Linked DNA regions of Arabidopsis thaliana. The gene in region 2 interacts genetically with the main gene of each other region. Each region holds a gene or a part of one and is shown on either strand. Other genes may lie near its edges. The genes, in order: BRI1 and MYBL2.

Region 1 (12,787 bases), on a different chromosome or scaffold from region 2:
ATGGTGGCTCGATGTAGAAACAACGCCGTTTTGTGTTCACGTATGTCTGACGCGCGAGCAGAGAGCGTGGGTGATTTGTCACACGAGCGCTTATAAATGAGAGTGTGGGGAGGACAGTTTCGTCCCTTTTTTGGAAGTTAGAATCATTACACTATTTTGGCGTTTTGCTTGATTATGATGACATTATAGAATAAAATGTTCTATTATACGAAATTAATACATCACTAAACATACTTTTCATTCAGTTTGTATTTAAAAAGTTACTTGTACCAATATAGTATTCTATCAGGTTGTTTGTTTTTCTGTTCAATTGTACTTATACAAACCTTCCAAAAAAAGTGTTACACTTGCGATAGATAGTTACACAAATGTCATTCTCTATGATCTTCCTTCTTTATTTGAAAATGGTATCGCAGTATTATTCGCTGAAAGTTGAACCTTCAAACCAGTTACCATTGCAGACGACATTTTCTCTACAAAAGTTAAAGTGATAGTAACATATCTCGAATTTAATTGAAAAGTTTACTACTCAAGTAGTCAAGTTCCTGTTACCCAAAACTATGTGTATAAAGTGAATTTTTTGTTAATTATGTAACTATGTATACACCGGGTACAGCTGCACGTAGGGTTTGTACATAATTACGAAATATCTCTATAAAACTGCGACAGAAGGAAAAAATAATAGAATAAGGCTTTAAGAGAAGTTTGGTCTATCCGTCTATGTAAGTGCCAGAGAAAAAGAAAGCAGTTTAAAAGTGAAAGGAGGGATTAATTAGTGGGAAAAGGTTTATCGAAAACTAATAATAATACTTCTCTGATTATTAAAAAGAGATGGAATCTGCCATTAATTGACACTCATGTCCCAATCGTCTCTCACACGTACGTTCGTTTTTTTTTTTGTTTCTCTTTTGCAAAAAGCTATAGAGACAATCTCTCCTCCACTTTATTTTTAGTTTTTCTTTCAGATACAAGTGAGAGTGAACAAGAGAAGAGTGTTAATGTGAAATGTTTGTGGTTGGTGTGAAATTCATGTAAAAATATGTATGTATTACCTTAACATTAAAGTAAATTTGAACTCTTTCAAACTATCACATTGAATGCTCCAAATCTTGTTGTATATGAGTATCAATATAAAAGAAATTTAGATGCTTATACTATGTTCCATTTTTACTGAACACTACTTAACCATTAGTCCATAAATGTGGAATTAGTTAGTTGCTGGCATCTTTATATCAGAATCAAAAGTTTTGCATATTGGGTGACAGTGAGTGCATACACCAATAATTCACCGATCAAGATCCAACCAAGTAAGAAGAAAAATATAACATGAATTATCTTGATTTTTTTTTTAATAAAAATAAAAATCAATGAATATATATGCTTATTATAAAAAAAAACCCAGCACTAAACAGAAGATCAGATTAGACTTGTGTTTTAAAAATATTGAGAAGAGAATCAAGAGATAGGTGGTTGGGGGTAAAATGTATACAAATGTTACAATAAAGTCTTAAGAAGAGTTTAAAAAGGGTAAGTAGGATATGTAGCTTGCAGAAGACTTGATCCCATCCCCTAATCTCACGTTAATTAAACACCTCTCTCATGTACAGACAAAATACCTCATTTCTTTAACTTAAACTTAACAAAAGCTACTATGAGATTAAGGATTTTGTGATGCCATTATTTTATTTATTTTTAGTATCCTCTTGCATTAATTAACTTTTTTTTTATAACCACATACAATAATTAAAAGTAGTATTATTTGTTTGTATCTGTTATCGAAATTGAAATTAATATATATAATTTTTATAATAATCAGAAGAAGAGGTAACATGGCATGTGAGTGCACAGCTGTGACCACTCTTCCCTTCACCATTTGATAAATACCTTCTTCCATCTTCCTTCTTCTGTCTTTTGACTCTCTTCTCTCTCTCCTCTCTTTCTGCTTTCCTCAATCTCTCTCTTTCTATCTCTAGAGCTTCCACTTCCTCTCTAATGGTGGAACCAAAACCCTAGATTCCCCCTTTCATCTTCTCTACTTCCCACACTTTTCTCTCTCACAAACTCTTGAGAAATGAAGACTTTTTCAAGCTTCTTTCTCTCTGTAACAACTCTCTTCTTCTTCTCCTTCTTTTCTCTTTCATTTCAAGCTTCACCATCTCAGTCTTTATACAGAGAAATCCATCAGCTTATAAGCTTCAAAGACGTTCTTCCTGACAAGAATCTTCTCCCAGACTGGTCTTCCAACAAAAACCCGTGTACTTTCGATGGCGTTACTTGCAGAGACGACAAAGTTACTTCGATTGATCTCAGCTCCAAGCCTCTCAACGTCGGATTCAGTGCCGTGTCCTCGTCTCTCCTGTCTCTCACCGGATTAGAGTCTCTGTTTCTCTCAAACTCACACATCAATGGCTCCGTTTCTGGCTTCAAGTGCTCTGCTTCTTTAACCAGCTTGGATCTATCTAGAAACTCTCTTTCGGGTCCTGTAACGACTCTAACAAGCCTTGGTTCTTGCTCCGGTCTGAAGTTTCTTAACGTCTCTTCCAATACACTTGATTTTCCCGGGAAAGTTTCAGGTGGGTTGAAGCTAAACAGCTTGGAAGTTCTGGATCTTTCTGCGAATTCAATCTCCGGTGCTAACGTCGTTGGTTGGGTTCTCTCCGATGGGTGTGGAGAGTTGAAACATTTAGCGATTAGCGGAAACAAAATCAGTGGAGACGTCGATGTTTCTCGCTGCGTGAATCTCGAGTTTCTCGATGTTTCCTCCAACAATTTCTCCACTGGGATTCCTTTCCTCGGAGATTGCTCTGCTCTGCAACATCTTGACATCTCCGGGAACAAATTATCCGGCGATTTCTCCCGTGCTATCTCTACTTGCACAGAGCTCAAGTTGTTGAACATCTCTAGTAACCAATTCGTCGGACCAATCCCTCCGCTACCGCTTAAAAGTCTCCAATACCTCTCTCTGGCCGAGAACAAATTCACCGGCGAGATCCCTGACTTTCTCTCCGGCGCGTGTGATACACTCACTGGTCTCGATCTCTCTGGAAATCATTTCTACGGTGCGGTTCCTCCATTCTTCGGTTCATGTTCTCTTCTCGAATCACTCGCGTTGTCGAGTAACAACTTCTCTGGCGAGTTACCGATGGATACGTTGTTGAAGATGAGAGGACTCAAAGTACTTGATCTGTCTTTCAACGAGTTTTCCGGCGAATTACCGGAATCTCTGACGAATCTATCCGCTTCGTTGCTAACGTTAGATCTCAGCTCCAACAATTTCTCCGGTCCGATTCTCCCAAATCTCTGCCAGAACCCTAAAAACACTCTGCAGGAGCTTTACCTTCAGAACAATGGCTTCACCGGGAAGATTCCACCGACTTTAAGCAACTGTTCTGAGCTGGTTTCGCTTCACTTGAGCTTCAATTACCTCTCCGGGACAATCCCTTCGAGCTTAGGCTCTCTATCGAAGCTTCGAGATCTGAAACTATGGCTGAATATGTTAGAAGGAGAGATCCCTCAGGAGCTCATGTATGTCAAGACCTTAGAGACTCTGATCCTCGACTTCAACGATTTAACCGGTGAAATCCCTTCCGGTTTAAGTAACTGTACCAATCTTAACTGGATTTCTCTGTCGAATAACCGGTTAACCGGTGAGATTCCGAAATGGATTGGCCGGTTAGAGAATCTCGCTATCCTCAAGCTAAGCAACAATTCATTCTCCGGGAACATTCCGGCTGAGCTCGGCGACTGCAGAAGCTTAATCTGGCTTGATCTCAACACCAATCTCTTCAATGGAACGATTCCGGCGGCGATGTTTAAACAATCCGGGAAAATCGCTGCCAATTTCATCGCCGGTAAGAGGTACGTTTATATCAAAAACGATGGGATGAAGAAAGAGTGTCATGGAGCTGGTAATTTACTTGAGTTTCAAGGAATCAGATCCGAACAATTAAACCGGCTTTCAACGAGGAACCCTTGTAATATCACTAGCAGAGTCTATGGAGGTCACACTTCGCCGACGTTTGATAACAATGGTTCGATGATGTTTCTGGACATGTCTTACAACATGTTGTCTGGATACATACCGAAGGAGATTGGTTCGATGCCTTATCTGTTTATTCTCAATTTGGGTCATAACGATATCTCTGGTTCGATTCCTGATGAGGTAGGTGATCTAAGAGGTTTAAACATTCTTGATCTTTCAAGCAATAAGCTCGATGGGAGGATTCCTCAGGCTATGTCAGCTCTTACTATGCTTACGGAAATCGATTTGTCGAATAATAATTTGTCTGGTCCGATTCCTGAGATGGGTCAGTTTGAGACTTTTCCACCGGCTAAGTTCTTGAACAATCCTGGTCTCTGTGGTTATCCTCTTCCGCGGTGTGATCCTTCAAATGCAGACGGTTATGCTCATCATCAGAGATCTCATGGAAGGAGACCAGCGTCCCTTGCTGGTAGTGTGGCGATGGGATTGTTGTTCTCTTTTGTGTGTATATTTGGGCTGATCCTTGTTGGTAGAGAGATGAGGAAGAGACGGAGAAAGAAAGAGGCGGAGTTGGAGATGTATGCGGAAGGACATGGAAACTCTGGCGATAGAACTGCTAACAACACCAATTGGAAGCTGACTGGTGTGAAAGAAGCCTTGAGTATCAATCTTGCTGCTTTCGAGAAGCCATTGCGGAAGCTCACGTTTGCGGATCTTCTTCAGGCTACCAATGGTTTCCATAATGATAGTCTGATTGGTTCTGGTGGGTTTGGAGATGTTTACAAAGCGATTTTGAAAGATGGAAGCGCGGTGGCTATCAAGAAACTGATTCATGTTAGCGGTCAAGGTGATAGAGAGTTCATGGCGGAGATGGAAACCATTGGGAAGATCAAACATCGAAATCTTGTGCCTCTTCTTGGTTATTGCAAAGTTGGAGACGAGCGGCTTCTTGTGTATGAGTTTATGAAGTATGGAAGTTTAGAAGATGTTTTGCACGACCCCAAGAAAGCTGGGGTGAAACTAAACTGGTCCACACGGCGGAAGATTGCGATAGGATCAGCTAGAGGGCTTGCTTTCCTTCACCACAACTGCAGTCCGCATATCATCCACAGAGACATGAAATCCAGTAATGTGTTGCTTGATGAGAATTTGGAAGCTCGGGTTTCAGATTTTGGCATGGCGAGGCTGATGAGTGCGATGGATACGCATTTAAGCGTCAGTACATTAGCTGGTACACCGGGTTACGTTCCTCCAGAGTATTACCAAAGTTTCAGGTGTTCAACAAAAGGAGACGTTTATAGTTACGGTGTGGTCTTACTCGAGCTACTCACGGGTAAACGGCCAACGGATTCACCGGATTTTGGAGATAACAACCTTGTTGGATGGGTGAAACAGCACGCAAAACTGCGGATTAGCGATGTGTTTGACCCCGAGCTTATGAAGGAAGATCCAGCATTAGAGATCGAACTTTTACAACATTTAAAAGTTGCGGTTGCGTGTTTGGATGATCGGGCTTGGAGACGACCGACAATGGTACAAGTCATGGCCATGTTTAAGGAGATACAAGCCGGGTCAGGGATAGATTCACAGTCAACGATCAGATCAATAGAGGATGGAGGGTTCAGTACAATAGAGATGGTTGATATGAGTATAAAAGAAGTTCCTGAAGGAAAATTATGAGAGTTAGAAACAGAGCCAAAGCAGATTCTTTGAACATCAAAATCATCTAAGGGTCAGTCCGATTTTCCTTGGGTCTATTTTTTTTGTATTTTCTACTATATGCTAAGTGTATGTATCTATGTTATTTATACATAAGACGGATGTTTTTTTTTTCGGGCTCGGTCGAATTGGGGGTGGTGGAGAATAGAACTAAGTAATAACTTTGTTAAGAATATGTAAATATACAGTTTTTTGGGGAGGGATTTGTAATGTTTTCGTTTTTAGTTCTATGGAAATTTCTACGTTGCTAACAAATTAAATTTATAATGAATCATGAAGAAACAAAGAGCCAATGTGTATTAAATTTCGACTGATCATGTTCATGTAAATGCACGTGACCTATTAATTCATTATTGTCGGAATTAATTTGGGGAATTCACACTGCACGGGAATGGGAAAGTGAGAATAGATGAGACTTAAATTTGTTTTTATGGATGTTATATTTACATGACCAATGTGGTCCCTTTTGAACTATGCTGAGTTAAACGTTTTTTTTTTTGCTATATACTTATTACTGATGAAATTGAACCGTTGGACTATATTTATATCCATCTACGTTATTTTTTCCATTACTATTGATTTTGTTATTGGCCCAAGTAGAATCAAAAGAATGGTTTTTTGATGTCATAATTTGCAATATAGAAATGGGAGGGATATGTATTGCATAATAAGATAAAGATAAACCTTTATCGAGACATAAGATTGTATGTAGATATTGAAAATGATAGGGTGATCAATGGATTTTAAAAAGTTTAAACAATTTTGCTACTAATAAATAAGAGATTGATATATAACATGGAGAAATGGACCTTCGCCTGAAATTAAAACAAAGTCTGGGTTTCATTCATGTTTCAGTGAGACACTGCGCCAACATCACCACAACAAGTCTTACACAAGGAACGTGTGCCTCACGTGCTCTTCTCTTTCTCTCTGCAGCTACGTGGACTGTCTTCGCTCCCCTCGCTCTTCGGATTTCGTGTTCCTTGCTTTCAAATTCTTTCTTCTTTAATCTTTTTGATTATTTATTTTTCTTTTCTCACTACTACCCAAACTAAAACACAAATCAAGTGTTTAGACTTTTAATAAAACTTAAAGAAAGGTTTATTTGGGTTTTATATGTTCGCTTTAGTCTCCAATACTAATATATTAAGTGGAACATTATAAATACATGCTTCTTATATACTATATGATCATGGATTTCGAAGAAACATTATAGAAAAAAAAACTTGAAACAAATGCGATACGGATACGTGCACATACATACCAATACACTATTATTCATCCTAGACAAGACACTGACATAGGCGCGTATAAACAAACGCGCTGAAACTGTGGAAGAAGGAAAAGAAGAGATGAGTAGCTATCAAGCGGAACACGCGCGACGGTGGTGGGTACGGAGCACGTGGGCCACCGTGCATGCAAGCTGTTCTTGTCGGAAACTTCCCCTAACAACGTCTCCTTCCGCCGTGGGCCGCCGTCCCTTTCCTGTCTCCGCCGAATTGACCTCTTCCTCTCTTTCCCTCTCTCATCTCTCTCCCACGTGTGTTTCCTTCTCATCCATACACTTCTCTTAATTAATTTATTATCTTCCTAATAAATATTCTTAATACATTTTGTTTTTTTCATATGCCTTAAGAAATTTTATATATTATTTTGACAACTTGTCAATAATACTATTCGTTACGCGGAATTATTGGGTACGTACGTGGGTTTCATTGCTCTTTGTCTGATATCAAGAAATCAAGTCACATAAAATTAAATACAGGAATACGCACAATGCAAAAAAAGCCACTATCCATAAAAATTATACTTATACTATAATACAAAAATTCTGAGTTGCAAATGACAAAATTAATAGGAACTACAAAAAAAAATTAGTAAAAACATAACACGGTGGTAGAATTTTGTTTCCTATCATAAATTTTGATAAAATTAGGGCGTACTTGAACACATAAAGGGTTACGATTCAAAGGAATTAAGCAATTTGTACTAAAAATACATAATTACAAAACCATTCTATCATTTTAGGATCTTTTTCTTTCAATCAAACCAATAATTCACGTTTAAACGTCGTCATGTATCTGATTATGTACATATAAAATTGCTCTAAATATGTAAATATGGGTCAAGTGCAAGACGGTCCATGCATTTAGATATTTTTCTGTAAGGCATATAAGTGGAGGATTGCGATGTGTACGTAAATACATAATCATTAATCAATTTATATATGTATATATACCTAGTTATGGGGTTGGAAATCTGAAGTTGAATCAATCTTATCGTAGTTTTATTCATTCTCGAGGCTTCTTTCTCACGTACAAAACTTCCCGCACGGGCTAAAGCTTGTTTGTCAAATAAATTGTTTAGAAACTGAGGTTTCGACGATGTACGAACTACACAAAGCTACAAACAAAGAAAATAATTAAGAATTTGTTTTGTACGTAAACATGTAGACAAACCCATTTCCACGCGTGTGAGCTCTCTGCCATTCATATACAGCTAAGACTTCTGAAAACGACGTTGATTAGTTAAATGTGTCGTCGTGGAAAAAACTATGTAAATACGTTCTCTATTGACTCAAAGGATAACAATATTTCTGCATATTTTTTGTTTACCTGTGATTTATAATGTTTTGTAAAAATGTACGTAACGACTATCAACAAGATATTATTATTTCACATGATAACAAGCGGTCAAAGTTGTTCTTACCGAGTTACTGTCAAATTGCATGCTAGAGCTTATTCTAATATGTATTGTATATATATTATCATAGTCTTAAATCGAATTATGTCTATGAATAATACTTTCTCTGCATATATATTTTTTTTTGTCAATATATGTTATTTAGTCTCCATATGTTTGGCTCTCTTTACAACTTACAAAAAAATACCTTAACTAAAATAAAGATATAGTGTTAAACTAATTTAATCAAAGAAATTGTTGGATTCATCTCACCTAGGAATCTTCCTTCTTTTCACGACGAAGAGACAAAGAAACAAAAAGCGACGGCTCAGATTTTGGTAATGTATAATGAAGTTTCAAATATTATATTCATCTCCTCGCAGCTTCTCCCAGCTTTCTCGTTTTTAATTCCCAGTCTCCTTTCAACAAGTTTTTTTTTCTTTAAAGCCATAATTAATGTTTGGGCGTCAGGATTACGTTATCTTAACTTTTTCCAATGGTTTGAACTGCTTTAACAGAGCCTTGTAAAATAATTGGAAAATTTGCTTTTGATAATAGCTAATTAGCAAATGGAATCAGTTTGTCCATAAATATATATGTAATGTCGTAAATCAGTATATAATAGAAGAAAAAAAATAAGAAATTTGATGATGGCAAATACTTTGAGTAACAACACAATTGGCTATCGTGTCAATTTTTGAGATAAATTAACTAAATTACATTGATACATAGTATACAGTATTATGAAAATGATTATTTAAGACCTTGGATTAAGGTAGCGAACGTGCGGTCCACGAGGGAATCACGTGGGAGTCTCCCTCGGACTCGGCGGAGCAAGCGGGTCACAACTTTTCATGTCCTCGTAACTTATGATTTCTATTTCTTTAATAGTTTTGTTTTCTTTTCGTAATAAGGTTTCGTAATCTAAGTTGATCAACGTATTACACTATTTAAGGTTTTACATTACACTTTTGGGAATCGAGAGAGTCGAGACGCTCACGTGCTTAAACGCGCTTATCCATTTGTCGAATTTCTTGGTTTGTCACGTGATCGCTATATTCGTGGACTTGGGTCTATCATTAAACCCAATAGAATTTTCCTCGTCTATAGGCTCATTATGGTAATCTGTCTTTATTGAACAAGTGTAAAATTTAAAGAAGCCCATTATAAGGCCCATCAATTTGAAACATAGACTCAATAAGCTGTTTTTTGGAACTCATTACAATATAATTTTCTGTTGACTCCGTTTAAAATAAGATACATTTAAAAGCCCACCAATTACAAACTAAGGCCCAATGAAATATATTTCCTTTAGCTGTTGAAGGTATCGTTGAGCGAAATTTTGTATTTGTCTTTGCTGCGTTTTTTTGGAGAGTTTAAATTTCCTTTTGTCAAAAATAGAAAGCATTTTCGGCCAAATTTTTGTTAGTACAATTTTAATGATAAAAACTTTAAATTTTTCGAATGTGGACTACATTTATATACCAAATAATGTCACACAAACCAACCAACAGAGTAACTATAAAATCAATTCAACTATATATTATATAGTCCTCAATTTGGAAATGGTACATTAATCATCTTACAAACACAAACAAACCACGGTGACATCGTCCACATTACAAATATAAAAACATCGATCATACCTGTTTCCTAACGAGAACATGTTATATATGTGTAACTTTTTTTTTATCGAGCTAGGTGTTGATGATTAATATATAATACGATAATTAGTTTGAGGCAAGGCAAGGTTGATTGATTTTTGATATTGGTTGATTCAATGGAAATACAAATTGAAATCACCAGAAGAAGTTGGAGAGAGGAGGGTGCAGGTGAGAGGTGGAGAGAGAGTCGTCGTCGAGATGATTAGAAGGAGAGTGAAGGTGTCTTCCTTCGTAAGTAGTGATTACCATTCTTGGGTCATCTGCTAATCTCTCCACTCTCTTCTTCACTCTACACTTGTCTTGTGTGCATCTGTAATAGCTCCTGCCATTCACATATTATATATATTAGTTAATCTTATATCAAATTTTATGGGAAACAAGTCTTATTTTTGGTTAGACTAGTTATAGTTGAATATAGAGTGATATAATATCAAACAGATATTAAGGCAACTAATGGAACTTTATCACAAAGCTCATGATAAAACTTTACAAAATGAGTATACAAGTTACCTAAACAAATCATTATTATTTGTAAATGTCAAATGTCAACATGTGAGAAAGAATCTTACAGAAACCCAACCCCATTATGTCTCACATTCTCACATAACACTCAAATATTTCTACATGAAATTACTTTTTTCCTTTCTTAACGGTTATATTCTTTTCCTATTTTTCTATAGCTACTAATCCCCAGAGGGACAAAAGTTTTTGTTATAACAGAACTGATACTTAATTACATATATACAGAGAAACGTACCAGAAAGATTCTACTAATAATTTTCATTGCCCTTAGAAAAATCGTAAATGAATGATTAATCATTACATGGCTCATAATTCACTACAAATTTTCATCATATTAGTTTACGTTAAAAACTTGGAAAAAAAAAAACTGATGATTGATCAAGACCGTAAAATTCTTATGAGAAGTCATCATTAACCTTCAAGGAATCATGAGAGGCAAAAAAGTGGAAGAACTGATATGTAGTCATCTTAATTAAAGAACGGCTGAGAATTGAAAGACTCGGAACCAATTTCAAATCATAAAATTAAATTAAATTACCTGGGATGTTGGGTGTTTTTGACAACTTTCTGGCCATACTTTCTCCATCTATATCCATCATCTAAGACATCAACCTCGCTAAGTGTCTTAAAGCAAAACCGAGGTTCCCTCACTTTTCTTCTTGTCTTAAGCTTCTTCATCTTCAGAGAAGAAACTACGCCTAATGACGCTGTGTTATGTTTATCATGACGACTGGGAGTATCATGATGATGATGACGACCATTATCATCATCATTAATGCCACCACCATCGCCAACCTCATCATCATTATCATCAACATCAATCTCGCTTCCATGGTTGTTTTTCTGGCTGCTTCCGTATCCCGCTTGACAACTCCATGCCCTAAACCACATTAACATATAAACATTAGTTACTTATATATAAGTAGCCGAGTCATGTGTGCATCCTCAAACTAATTGAAAATTCTGTACAATAAAGCAAAAGTAACTAGTAGGGAAATATACGAGCTTTTGGTTTATATATTTAAATACTTATTTTGAAAATAATGATTAATTTTAGTATTTTCGTAAGTAACTACTTACCATGGATTTGACAGGGGTCTTTGGGATGAAATACTACCGGTAAGACGATGATGATCGAGATTAAGAAAACCATCATGATCGTCCCTTTGCTTTGATGAGGACAAAGACGAGATTAGGGTTTCGGGGAGATTGGTCATGAGATTGATGGAATCTTGAGGATGACTTATGAATGAAGACGGGTTATTATGAAGGAAGGAGTTTAGGGAGTTATGACCAAGAAATGGAGACACAAGAGAAGAAGGAGAAGACGAAGACGACGAAGATGATGAAGATAAGGTGCTGTGACTAGGGAAAGAGAAGAAGAAACCTAGATGGTTGGTATTAATAGGGTTTATGACGGTTTGTGATTCATCAAACAAGCTTATTCCTTGGTTTATCGCACCCATCTCGCAAAAGCTTGACGAAGGTGAGATTGTGTGTGTGAGACAGTGAGAGAGAAAGTTTTTGTTTTGCTGGATATTTTGTTTGATTTTGGGTTGAGAGTTGAGACAATCCAATCCATCCATGTGAGTGTTTCGATTAATATATAAATGTTGGATAATGAAAAGGTGCAGGTGGGTCCAATTGGATTGGTTTTGTTCGAAGATTTACATGTGATTAAAATGCTCATATTTGTTTTGTACTCGCCTGATTTTGAAATATAATAGTGATGAGGGGTCTTTTTAAAAATGTTTGTTGATATTAATAAAGTCTGTATTTTGGTTAAAATAACTATGAGGTTTTAGATTTTTTTTTTTTTTTTTTTTTCTTTTTTTTTTGGAAATTTAGAACGATTATAGGATCAAGCGAAAAGACTTACAGTTTTGTGTTTTGGTAGCAGTATACAACAATACGTAAAATTTTTAGGTAGTTGAAATGTTATAACAATGACTAATTTGATCTATGCATGAAAATTATTCATTAACTCAAATATTTTTCATTATTATATGTCCTATGCAGCCTTGCAACTTTCACAATATTTGAACCTTAATTTGGTCTTTATCAAAAAAAAAAAAACTAAGTTGGTGGGAAAACTACAGACTTATAAACATTTTTCCACTTATGCTTTTCCAAACTAAGATTATTGGTTCGAATTTGATGTCTAAAAGAAAGAATAACCACATTTGAAATTAAAAACAGTTTTTTTTTTTGCTACTCC
Region 2 (9,773 bases):
TCTCCAACTTTTCAATAACTTTTCTATTACTTGAGGCATCTTTCTCCATTGGCTCAGATAAACCACTCGAGAACTTCTTCGAATTTAACGATCCATATCTCTGCATTGCTCTTCTTAACTGTAATCTTGCTAGTTCCACCTAATCACAAGCAAAAAAAAACCCTTAGAAACACCTCCATGGATAGGAAAACCAAATCTTCATACATTCTACATAATGAACAAACTTTTACCTGTTCACGGACTTCGTCAGAGATATCATATCTATCATATGTCAAATCACCTAATGCTTTCTCCAGCTTCCATGTAACACATTGGAACTGGAATGAGATCCTCTTGGCTGCCCCATCCTTCAATCAAAATCACACATCAAAGTTTAGAGAGCTCCTCATGTATATATTAATAATGCTCTTCACTACACAAATGTCAACAATAGTATCTTCCAATCTAAAAAAACTAAAAACAAATTCTTCCTATAAATTACGTTCCTGCCATGGCGAGACCAAATCTTCGTGAAATCACAAATCCATTTTCAATCGTTGAGAATGGTTTAGAATGCTTACAGAGGACTCGCGAGCTTGGAAACTAGTAGCTGAAGACAAAAGACGCTTCGCGGCTTGAAGTCCCACCACAAGATCAGACCACCAATCACATTCATGAGAATTCAACGAAGAAGAAGCATCAGATTCCGACGGCGGAGAAGAATCCCTGATTTCCTCAATCAAATGCGTCAGGAGACCGACTCGTCGCGCGAGATCGGAACAATCCTTCTTAAACAAACCAAAATTCCCCGGAATCTCATTGATTTCAGCAATAAGACCGATGAGAGAATCGGGAGTGATAGCTCCACCAGCCATTACGCCGTCTCACACGGCGGCTTAAAATTCGAATTTTTGTGACTCGCTCTCTCTCTCTCGCTGGCTCGCTTCTGACTCAGAGATGCGTCTCTATCGCTTTTATGTATCCAACGAAGCCATGTGGCGAAAAAGGATAAGTCGCTGTTACGACACCGTTTTGGTTTTAGTGTTTTTTGTTTTAAACTTTTTATCTAACTCTAAAAATGGTTTTTTCTTTTCTTTTTAGTTTACTGGCTTTATATTTTTAGATAAAAGTTTATGTGATACATTTAAATAATACAATAGAACAAACTAGATAATTGAGAGCGAGATTCACGGTGCAAGTAGAGGTTGAAGAGAAAATGATACAGTTGTCAAAAAAATAATCAATTATTATCATTTATATTAGATCAAAACTGTATAATAGAAATGAACTATACTTTTAAATTCAATAAAAAAATCCACTTTTCTATTTATTGAAGAAAATGGTTTGTTGTGTGCTTAGTTGTAAAGTAGATCTTATATGATTGTATTTTATAGTTGTGTTGAAATTTATGTTGGAGTTATGAAATTTATCTGTATGTATTATTTATGTAATCTTAAATGGTAATAAATAGTCAAATTAGTTATTTTTTCTATTTGAAAAGAAACTAAGATAAAATTTCCAGGCCTTTAGATGCATTGTATTGACATGTGTTTCTAGTATATGATCTGTCTTACCCTAGTGTTTATTAAAAGATGGAAAAAATCTTCTTTGTAATTAACTAAATATAGCTTTACATGTTTTATTTTCCCTTAAAAATAACTTTGTATGTGTAAGAAAATTTAATATCTCTTACAGCAAAAATGTTCTAGAAAAATTATGTCAATTAACATAATTTTGGTGAGTATTATATAGCCTGCAAATGGAACGGTCGAACATGACCCGGTAGATCGAATTTTAACAACATTTTAGATAATTTGAAGCATGTATACAAATTGGGACCTATAATTTTCTTAAAACTGTTTTACCACAGTTTAGTATACTTTTGATTAAAATTTATAAACATGACTTACATATAGTTTGTGACAGTCTTGTATTGAAAAGTTATCTCGGTTTAACAAAAGAAAGGTTCAACCACGACATCCACATCATATCGGCCGACGTCCATGCCCGTGACTTCTGCGTCCTACATAACAACCGATAGCAACTTGAAAAATAGACAACATTATCTTTTAGACATTTTTGGCAAGTTTGACTGGCTGGTTTCATAATTATTTTTGGACATATGCAAAAATAAAAAGATCTACATAAAGAAGAGGGTATTCGTCTGAATCAGATGAAGATTAATAACCTTGAAGTGTTTGATGAGGCATGTGATTTTTGCTTGCACATCCACACACAACTCTCCATTAACCACAATACTCACCGTTATTTCTGAAATTTATGGTGTAGTTGTACTTGCGGAACAATATGAAAGTGAAGGTGAGATCAGAGTTTATACAGTTGTGGAAACAACTTCTTTGATGGTTGTAGATCCCGCAATCGTAGAAACAACCTTAATGATGATTGTAGTTTCGATGATAAATATTGGTCCATTTTCTTAGCAAACAATCTCCTCTTCTATACTTGTCAAACATTCATATTCTTTGGTCATGCAATTTTGTTTAATATTTGATGATGTTTGAATAGCGGTTGTACAAATGTATTTACTTTCTAATTTTTATTTTAAGCATGTATGAAGATACTTTAAACAAATTCATTGTGAGTTTTGTTCAAAATATATGTGAACGTGTTTGTACTAGTTGGTGCATATTTGACCGTATAGTCTCCATGCTTAAGACATCCTTAAATCGATACATTTCATTATTTTATAAGTTAACTAATTTGCTTCCTTTATATCTTTAGTAAGTAATTTTCGTATTTATAGATTCCTTTGTGCGAAACGAGAGTTTGAAATTGCTTTTGAATAAAGAGTAAAGTGTAGTTTGGAGGAAAATGAACATACTTGTCCATTTTAAGAGAGTTAATTAATACTTCCCGTCAATGTGCACCGTTAACATTGCTGTATTAGCTATAATTTCTTACAGCTTGATTGATCAAATAAGCAGCGGTTATCGTCGGTTAGTTATTAACGATCTACTATAATACTAATCACTGAAAACAGAACCGGACATTTAAGAGAATAGTTGTTCAATGACCAGCCGGTCCAATTCAGGATTAACATATTTCAAACATCGTTATACCATCTCTCTAGTGAATATTATAATATGTGCATTTGTAATATAACAAATGTGTACAAACAAATACACCATTTCTCATCGGAATAGAAGAAGCGTTTCTTGACCTGTTGAACCATTGGTAGAGGATTCGCTAGAGTCCTGAAGGCAAAGAGCTGGCAAAGAAGTCACGGCCGGGATGAGACCAATGTTTAGGTCAGGCAAATGACTTCGTCCGGTACTAGTACTATCCTCCGAGCAATTGGTACTTGGAATGGGCAAAATTGTTACACCACATGATTCGGATACCGAAGAAGATTGATCACTAATAATCTTGGTTTCATGTTCCTTATGTGAAGAATGGAGGTGACGTCTAGAAATGTAGTTGGTGTGATGGTGGAGACGATGATTGGTTGGGTCGATTCCCATTTTTACGAGCTTCCTTTTTAGGTAAGTTTCCCAATGGATCCTAACTTCGTTGTCGGTTCGTCCTGGCAATCTTCCCGCTATCAATGACCATCTGAAAAAACATAACATCAAAATGATTATTAGCACGTACCGTTCACATTACTATTGAATTAAAGAATAAGAAGAATGAATACGAACCTATTGCCAAGAAGTGCATGAAGCTTGAGGATGAGATCGTCTTCATCTTTTGAGAAGTTGCGTTGTTTAACTTCTGGCCTTACGTAGTTTCGACCTCTCAATCGACATCTCTTACGGTGTTGCATACCTAAGAGAAGGGATCAAAATTTAACAAATTAAAACGATATATCGTCACAAAGTCACGTATGTACACATGTATATCTATGAATTCTACATCGACCTCTTTAAACTATGAATAATTTGGTGATGTGAATAGCAAAACACATGATTAATACTGTTTAAAGAGAAAATAGTTACCGGAAGGTGGGGAGAGAGCACGAAGGCGGGTTTTGTTCATGTCTTTTTCAAAGTGAGATTGGTTGAGTTATGTCTTTTTTTAAAACTGTTGATAGATTGTGAGGTGGTTTGCGAGAAGAAACTGATATATAGGATTAGGGGATGGCTTGAGGAGGTTTGACTTGGACTGGTGGGTTGAGAGAAGCGTGCATGCTCAATCAAACTATTAATGAACGAGGAAGAACAAGAAGAATACATCAACCTTGTTAATTGGTCCCACATTTAGGAGTTGAAACAAATAAAAATTGGTCCCATATTTGTTCAAATCCATTAGAATTTGTGGAATCATGAATGTGGAAGTGTGTCGCATTTAATTTGCCTTACCAATACCAATCCAAATCTCGCTCTTATCCACATTTTCGTAAAATATATGTACGGCTCCGATAGATACCTTTTGTGAAATATCAAAGATGTGTGTGTGGTATCAATAATAGATTCACTAAAATATATATTAAGCAAGAAGAAGACGAAGAAGATATTTGACTAGTGGCTCAAAATTATTTGGATGCATTATTTGATAAAATATCTGAAGCTTCCGAATATGACATGAAAATAAACAAATTAAGAGAAAATAGGAAACCATGAAATTAAAGAGTGTAGGTTCAGGAACAGATAAGGGAGAAACATGGGAGCATTCAATTGAATTTGACTGGTGGTTAGGACTTTGTATACGAGGAATTTTCTAATTTCACTCACCACTTCCCTATCTCACTTACCATCTACTCCAAAATCATATAAGAAGCAAAAGAGTTTTGTTATTGGGCCCGTTAAAGCCCGTAACTGTTAAAAGCCCATTAACAAGCTGCTTCTAATCTCCGAGGCCAAGTGAAAAACAATGATAGAGATATAACATCAATCCAATCGAATTATCTTTTAACACTTTCTGTATAAGATATTTATGTAATCTGAAATCTCAATCTATATCAACTCGTTTGTATTCTGCACTCGTAATTGTAAATTGTTTTCGTTTTAGAATTATAGCACCATTGCAAAGGGCCTCATCATCATATTGTCTTCATGGTCCAATATCTGCAATGCCAATATCATACAGTTAGTTCTAAAAGAAAAAGCTAAATTCGTCATCAACTTTTTAGTATTTTACCAACTTACGTGACAGTGGTAAACATAGCCTGGCTCTTGAGTTGCGTCAAAGGAGTAAGATTCGTTTGAGTGAATGTAAGAAAATCTAACGAGTATCTTCGTTACATGTCCCGGCATCATCTTGAATACGTTTTTCCATCCCCGCTCGTGTACCGTAACCGCGGTCTTGTTCCCTCGTGCGTATTTGCTAATCTCACACTTGACGGCATCGTTTCTTTTAGTCATGCACTCTATGAACTCCTCACTCTTCACCAATGCCGTTTGCTCCAATACTTTAAACAATCCCAAGTGAATGTGCAACGGATGGTTATCCTCGGTTAAGTTTATCACTTCCCACACCTTCATTATTGTAAGCATTAAAGATTTGAACTATACGGTTAGTGAATAGTGAAATTTTGGTTATAAATACCTCGCTTGTGCCGATTTTTGGAGTTTCGGTTACGGGAGCGTTGTAAGGCAGACCGTTGATGTATAGATGTGTTGGCTCGTCAATGCTTGACACATACTCGAACATAGCAATGTAACGTGTACGTGTGGAGGTTGATACATGAGCAGGAGGGTATTCAATTAGCTTCTTCGGAATAATCGACGTGTCAACTTCTGATTTGTAGTTGATTATAAACTTCATGACTTTGCTGTTCTCTTCCGTGACGGGATCTCCCGACGGGTAAGGATAAGGTGCATTGTTGGCAAGAATTGCCGTTTTCGATGTTGACTTTGAAAAGTCAACGAGTACGTCGACAATCTCCGACGGAGCTAGGAGAACAGATTTGGTCGATACTGGTTTCGCTAGATAAGCGGAATCGGAACCAACGACAATGAAGTCGAGACCGTTGGAGAAGAAGAACCGGAAGAACCTTGCGTTACTAGCGTTTGTGATTCGAAATCTATATTTCCGGCGGCGGACGGTTAATCTCGGCCATGCTTTACCGTTCACAATGATGGCGTCGCCGAAATACTCTGGCTGCCATTGTGGATGAATCGTTGGATTGTTCCCTGTAGCGTTCATGTAAATGGAACCATCTTTACGAAAAGATCGGTCAAAGATGACCAAAGGACGATCGAATTCGCGTCCGGTAGGTAACCGAAGAGGCGATTCGACTGAGCTATGACGGAGAATGTAAGAGCCTAACAAACCGGCAAGAAGGTTGACTCTGGTCAACCCTGCCGCGTGGTCATGGTACCACATGTTTCCAGGTTGTTGCTTGTTGACGTAATGTGTAGTCTTTTTGGTCCATTTGGAACCAGTTTCTTTGAAACCAGCGGTGAACCATGAATCTGCATTTCCATCGCTAGTTGGTTCGTGGATACCTCCGTGCAAGTGAACCACCGTGGGAATGCCGCCGTGTTTAGGGATTGCCGGAGAGATTGTTGGGTCCCAAGGGAGGATATGATGTAAAGGGAGGTGATTTCGCCACGTCACGTAGGTGTCGACGCCATAAACAGCTTCTATTGTTGGTCCAGGAACTGTTGCTGAACGCTTTGATGTACCATATGCGAACACTGGCGTGGCAGGCAAGTCTCTGTGGAATTTCTGTACTTCACAATGATTTAACTCATATCAGTGTGTGACAGAGTTAGAGAAATTCAAAAACTTAAATCATTCGAATCATTAGCAGAGTAATAAAATAGTTTAAAGGAACAGAGCACAATTAGCTAGGCCAAAGTGGTAGAAAAGCAATCATAATTATATAGTTAGTGGGTAATAACTTTCTATCAATTAATCATTAGATTTGATGATGTTCTTAGTATAATTTATCAGAACAAAACTTAAAGAGCTTATAGAAACTATAAAAAAAATGTGTATTCATTCGGTAGGAGAGCAAAATAATATTAAATTTGACTAGTTATAAAAGAGCACTGATTCGTCAGTACTATAAACCAATAGATATTTTTCTCAAGAGGACAAATAAGTGAGAGGATAAGAGTGGAGTACACAAGATGAATCAATTCCAAATCACTTTACCAAAAAAGAGCCGTAGCCAACTAAAAAGCACTTAAGTTTTCACTGATCTATACGATTTCGAATATTTAATGTTAATTTTTGTCATTAATGAGTTTAGATTAGTTTATGAACAAAGAGGAATTTGAGTATTCATTCGGTGAAGGGCAAATAATATTCAACATGACGAGTGATAAAAAGTATACAATTATTAATACTTTTTCTCAAAGACGACAAACAAGTGAGGGGACAATAGTGTGAACACAACACGAATCTATTCTAATCACTTTACAACCTAAGAAGAGCCGTAGCCAAGTAAAAAGCAAATTAACTTCACTAATCTTATACGATATCGAATTTAATGTTAATGTTTTTCATTAAGGAGATAATGTTCAACATTAGTTAGTCGGCTTAAGTTGGTCAAGAAAGTTAATGAGTCTATTTTTTTGCATGTAATACAGGTGTAAATCACTAAATGATGGTTATTTGAATTTTCTATCTAAATATTTTGGCCATTTATAACCTCATGACAGAAATGGAAGATGATCTGTTTTCACGAACGACTATAGACTGGAAATTTAATTTAATAACATACCAAATATAACTTCAAGAAAACAGAGAAAACAAGAGGAAAATATATAATAGAGGAAAGAAATTAGAAAACAAGGAAACAAAAATTAGAATATAAGGAAAATGAGAAGAAGGAAAGAATTAAATACCCATTTCTTGAAGAACATGCCTATGTGAAGAGATTTGGGTTTGAGGAAGCCATTGACGAAGTGGTAGCCATGAAGTGTTGGTATATGAGGAAGCTTGTCAACGAACATCTCAAGCTTCCCAAGATTAAACAGTCGCTCCTCTTGCTTTATGCCTCCTTCGTCTCCGGTTACGAGCCATGCCATCGTTACGATTAGAAGCAACATGTCTCTGGTCATTCTCCTCCGAGAAGGCTCCATGTCTTTGTCCTTCACGAGCTGTCGAAATTATATGAGAAAAGTCAAGTGTGTGTGTGTGTTTGTATGTGTGGAATACTTAAAAGTTGAGGAGAGAAGTTGAAGAAGTTCTTTGGGGTTTTGCGTATTTATGCATACGAGTGTGTGGTGTCAAATAACTTTGTTGTTCTTTGCTTTCATTCTCTTGACTATTGAGTCGCTACTTTCCTAGAATTTATCTTCCAAAAAGGAATGGTTTTTTTTTTAATTAGTAAGCTTCTACATTATAAAACTAGAATTTGAATATTATATGTACATGACAAGAGTATTGATTTTTCTTAAAAAATGAATATATATATATACGTATATAATATATCCATTAATTATATGGTTTATATCTATCAAAAATTAACTGAAAATTAAACAGGGTTCATACTTCATAATTCTTTTTGTGAATAACAAGGTTAATAGTTCTGTCTTCTCAAATGGATCTTTTACGAAAAAATCAACATTCTTCTAATGGAACTAATACAAGAAAGAAACCATGGAAACTTTTGGGCCTAGTTCGTCCACTATATTTCGTCCCGTTATTAAGATATTTTCTCTAACTTACGCGTTACAAAAAAAATTAGAATGAGTTTTTCCAATCTCTCAAAAATTGTCTTAACCATGTTATCGTTTTAGCTCCTTCAGCCTCCCGTAACATGCATTATCGCAGACCTATAATGGTTAAAGCTAAGGTTATCATCCAAGCTTGTGGGAGGTCTCACAAACATTCCTTCACTAAACAGATCTTTATTCGCATGTCCAAACACCAAATTTCAACCATTGAAATTTGTAGTTATGTTTGCCTTAAAGGTCGAACCATTTCTCTGCGAGTTAGCCGAAATCTAGCAAACCTAATGTTCTCTAAAACTAATTCTTTTTGTTTTTTCTGTTTTTTTTTATAAACTTTTTCTTCATTAATATTGAAAGTAGCGAAAAAGTAACCCATCAGTCTATAAAAGACTGACAATATAAAATATACCTAGCCAGGCCCAAAATGAACCCAGCATCAACAAATAATTTTTCAAAAGGGAGAATCAAAAACAGCCCAAAAACCTAACATATTCTTTATTTGTTACAAGTTGGAACTATAGTTCCTTTTAAACTTCTCTTGATGCTACTCCAAAGATTATCATCTAGCATGAGTTCTAACGTAAAAAACACGCAAATAGTGGTTATACATATATATATATATATACTCTATGCTTTTCATTTGAATACACATCATATATTATACAACTACAATATATATTCATGCTTTTAAAAAATAATTCAGACAAATCCAAGAAACCTAAAAATTAAATTTAACAAGAAAATACACCAAATTAACTTTTTGAAGAGTGTGAGGAAAAAAATCAAATTAAACCAAAATTAATCAATTTGACTCTGAATCAACAAAATTTAAAACAAAATCAACCATTATATATACAAAGTTCCTATTATATACAGATTTTGTGATCAATCCAGTTCTACAAATTTCAGGTTTGGTTCGTTTTTGGTTTCACAGATAATTGCTAGTACTATTGACTTTTGAGCCTGTCTATGTTTTGGTGTTCCTAGTCAAAATGACTGGAAGCCGTCGATGTCTGGGGTACTGTACACGTGGAGGTTATCCAAAAGCCCATCTCCCACCTAGCTAAAAATGCGGTTGTCGCCATCAAACGACGATTTTACCTTAAGTCCCACCTTGATATGTTCAAACGCGCGTTTGCGTTTTCCCTTCGTGTGCCGCTTCTCATCTCTCCATTTGTTTGCGTCCTTTTCACAGTTTCAAATCTA

The links.
Region 1: changes in MYBL2 (region 2) and BRI1 impair growth when combined (synthetic growth defect), as found in Arabidopsis thaliana (one study listed by BioGRID).

Annotation. Positions count from the first base shown.
Region 1 is NC_003075.7:18,322,755-18,335,541, forward strand, and holds BRI1 (Leucine-rich receptor-like protein kinase family protein), read left to right. Parts: upstream 1-1,702; 5' UTR 1,703-2,071; coding exon 2,072-5,662; 3' UTR 5,663-6,077; downstream 6,078-12,787. Other genes in the region: PLS (polari), read right to left, coding at 6,435-6,545; WRKY13 (WRKY DNA-binding protein 13), read right to left, coding at 10,183-10,369, 11,108-11,449, 11,650-12,035. UniProt on the Arabidopsis thaliana protein: Receptor with a dual specificity kinase activity acting on both serine/threonine- and tyrosine-containing substrates.
Region 2 is NC_003070.9:26,792,252-26,802,024, forward strand, and holds MYBL2 (MYB-like 2), read right to left. Parts: upstream 4,279-9,773; 5' UTR 3,976-4,278; coding exon 3,936-3,975; exon of another isoform or gene 3,766-3,935; coding exon 3,639-3,765; intron 3,553-3,638; coding exon 3,132-3,552; 3' UTR 2,801-3,131; downstream 1-2,800. Other genes in the region: AT1G71020 (ARM repeat superfamily protein), read right to left, coding at 1-139, 231-347, 561-854; LPR2 (Cupredoxin superfamily protein), read right to left, coding at 4,950-5,003, 5,085-5,414, 5,485-6,609, 7,737-7,973.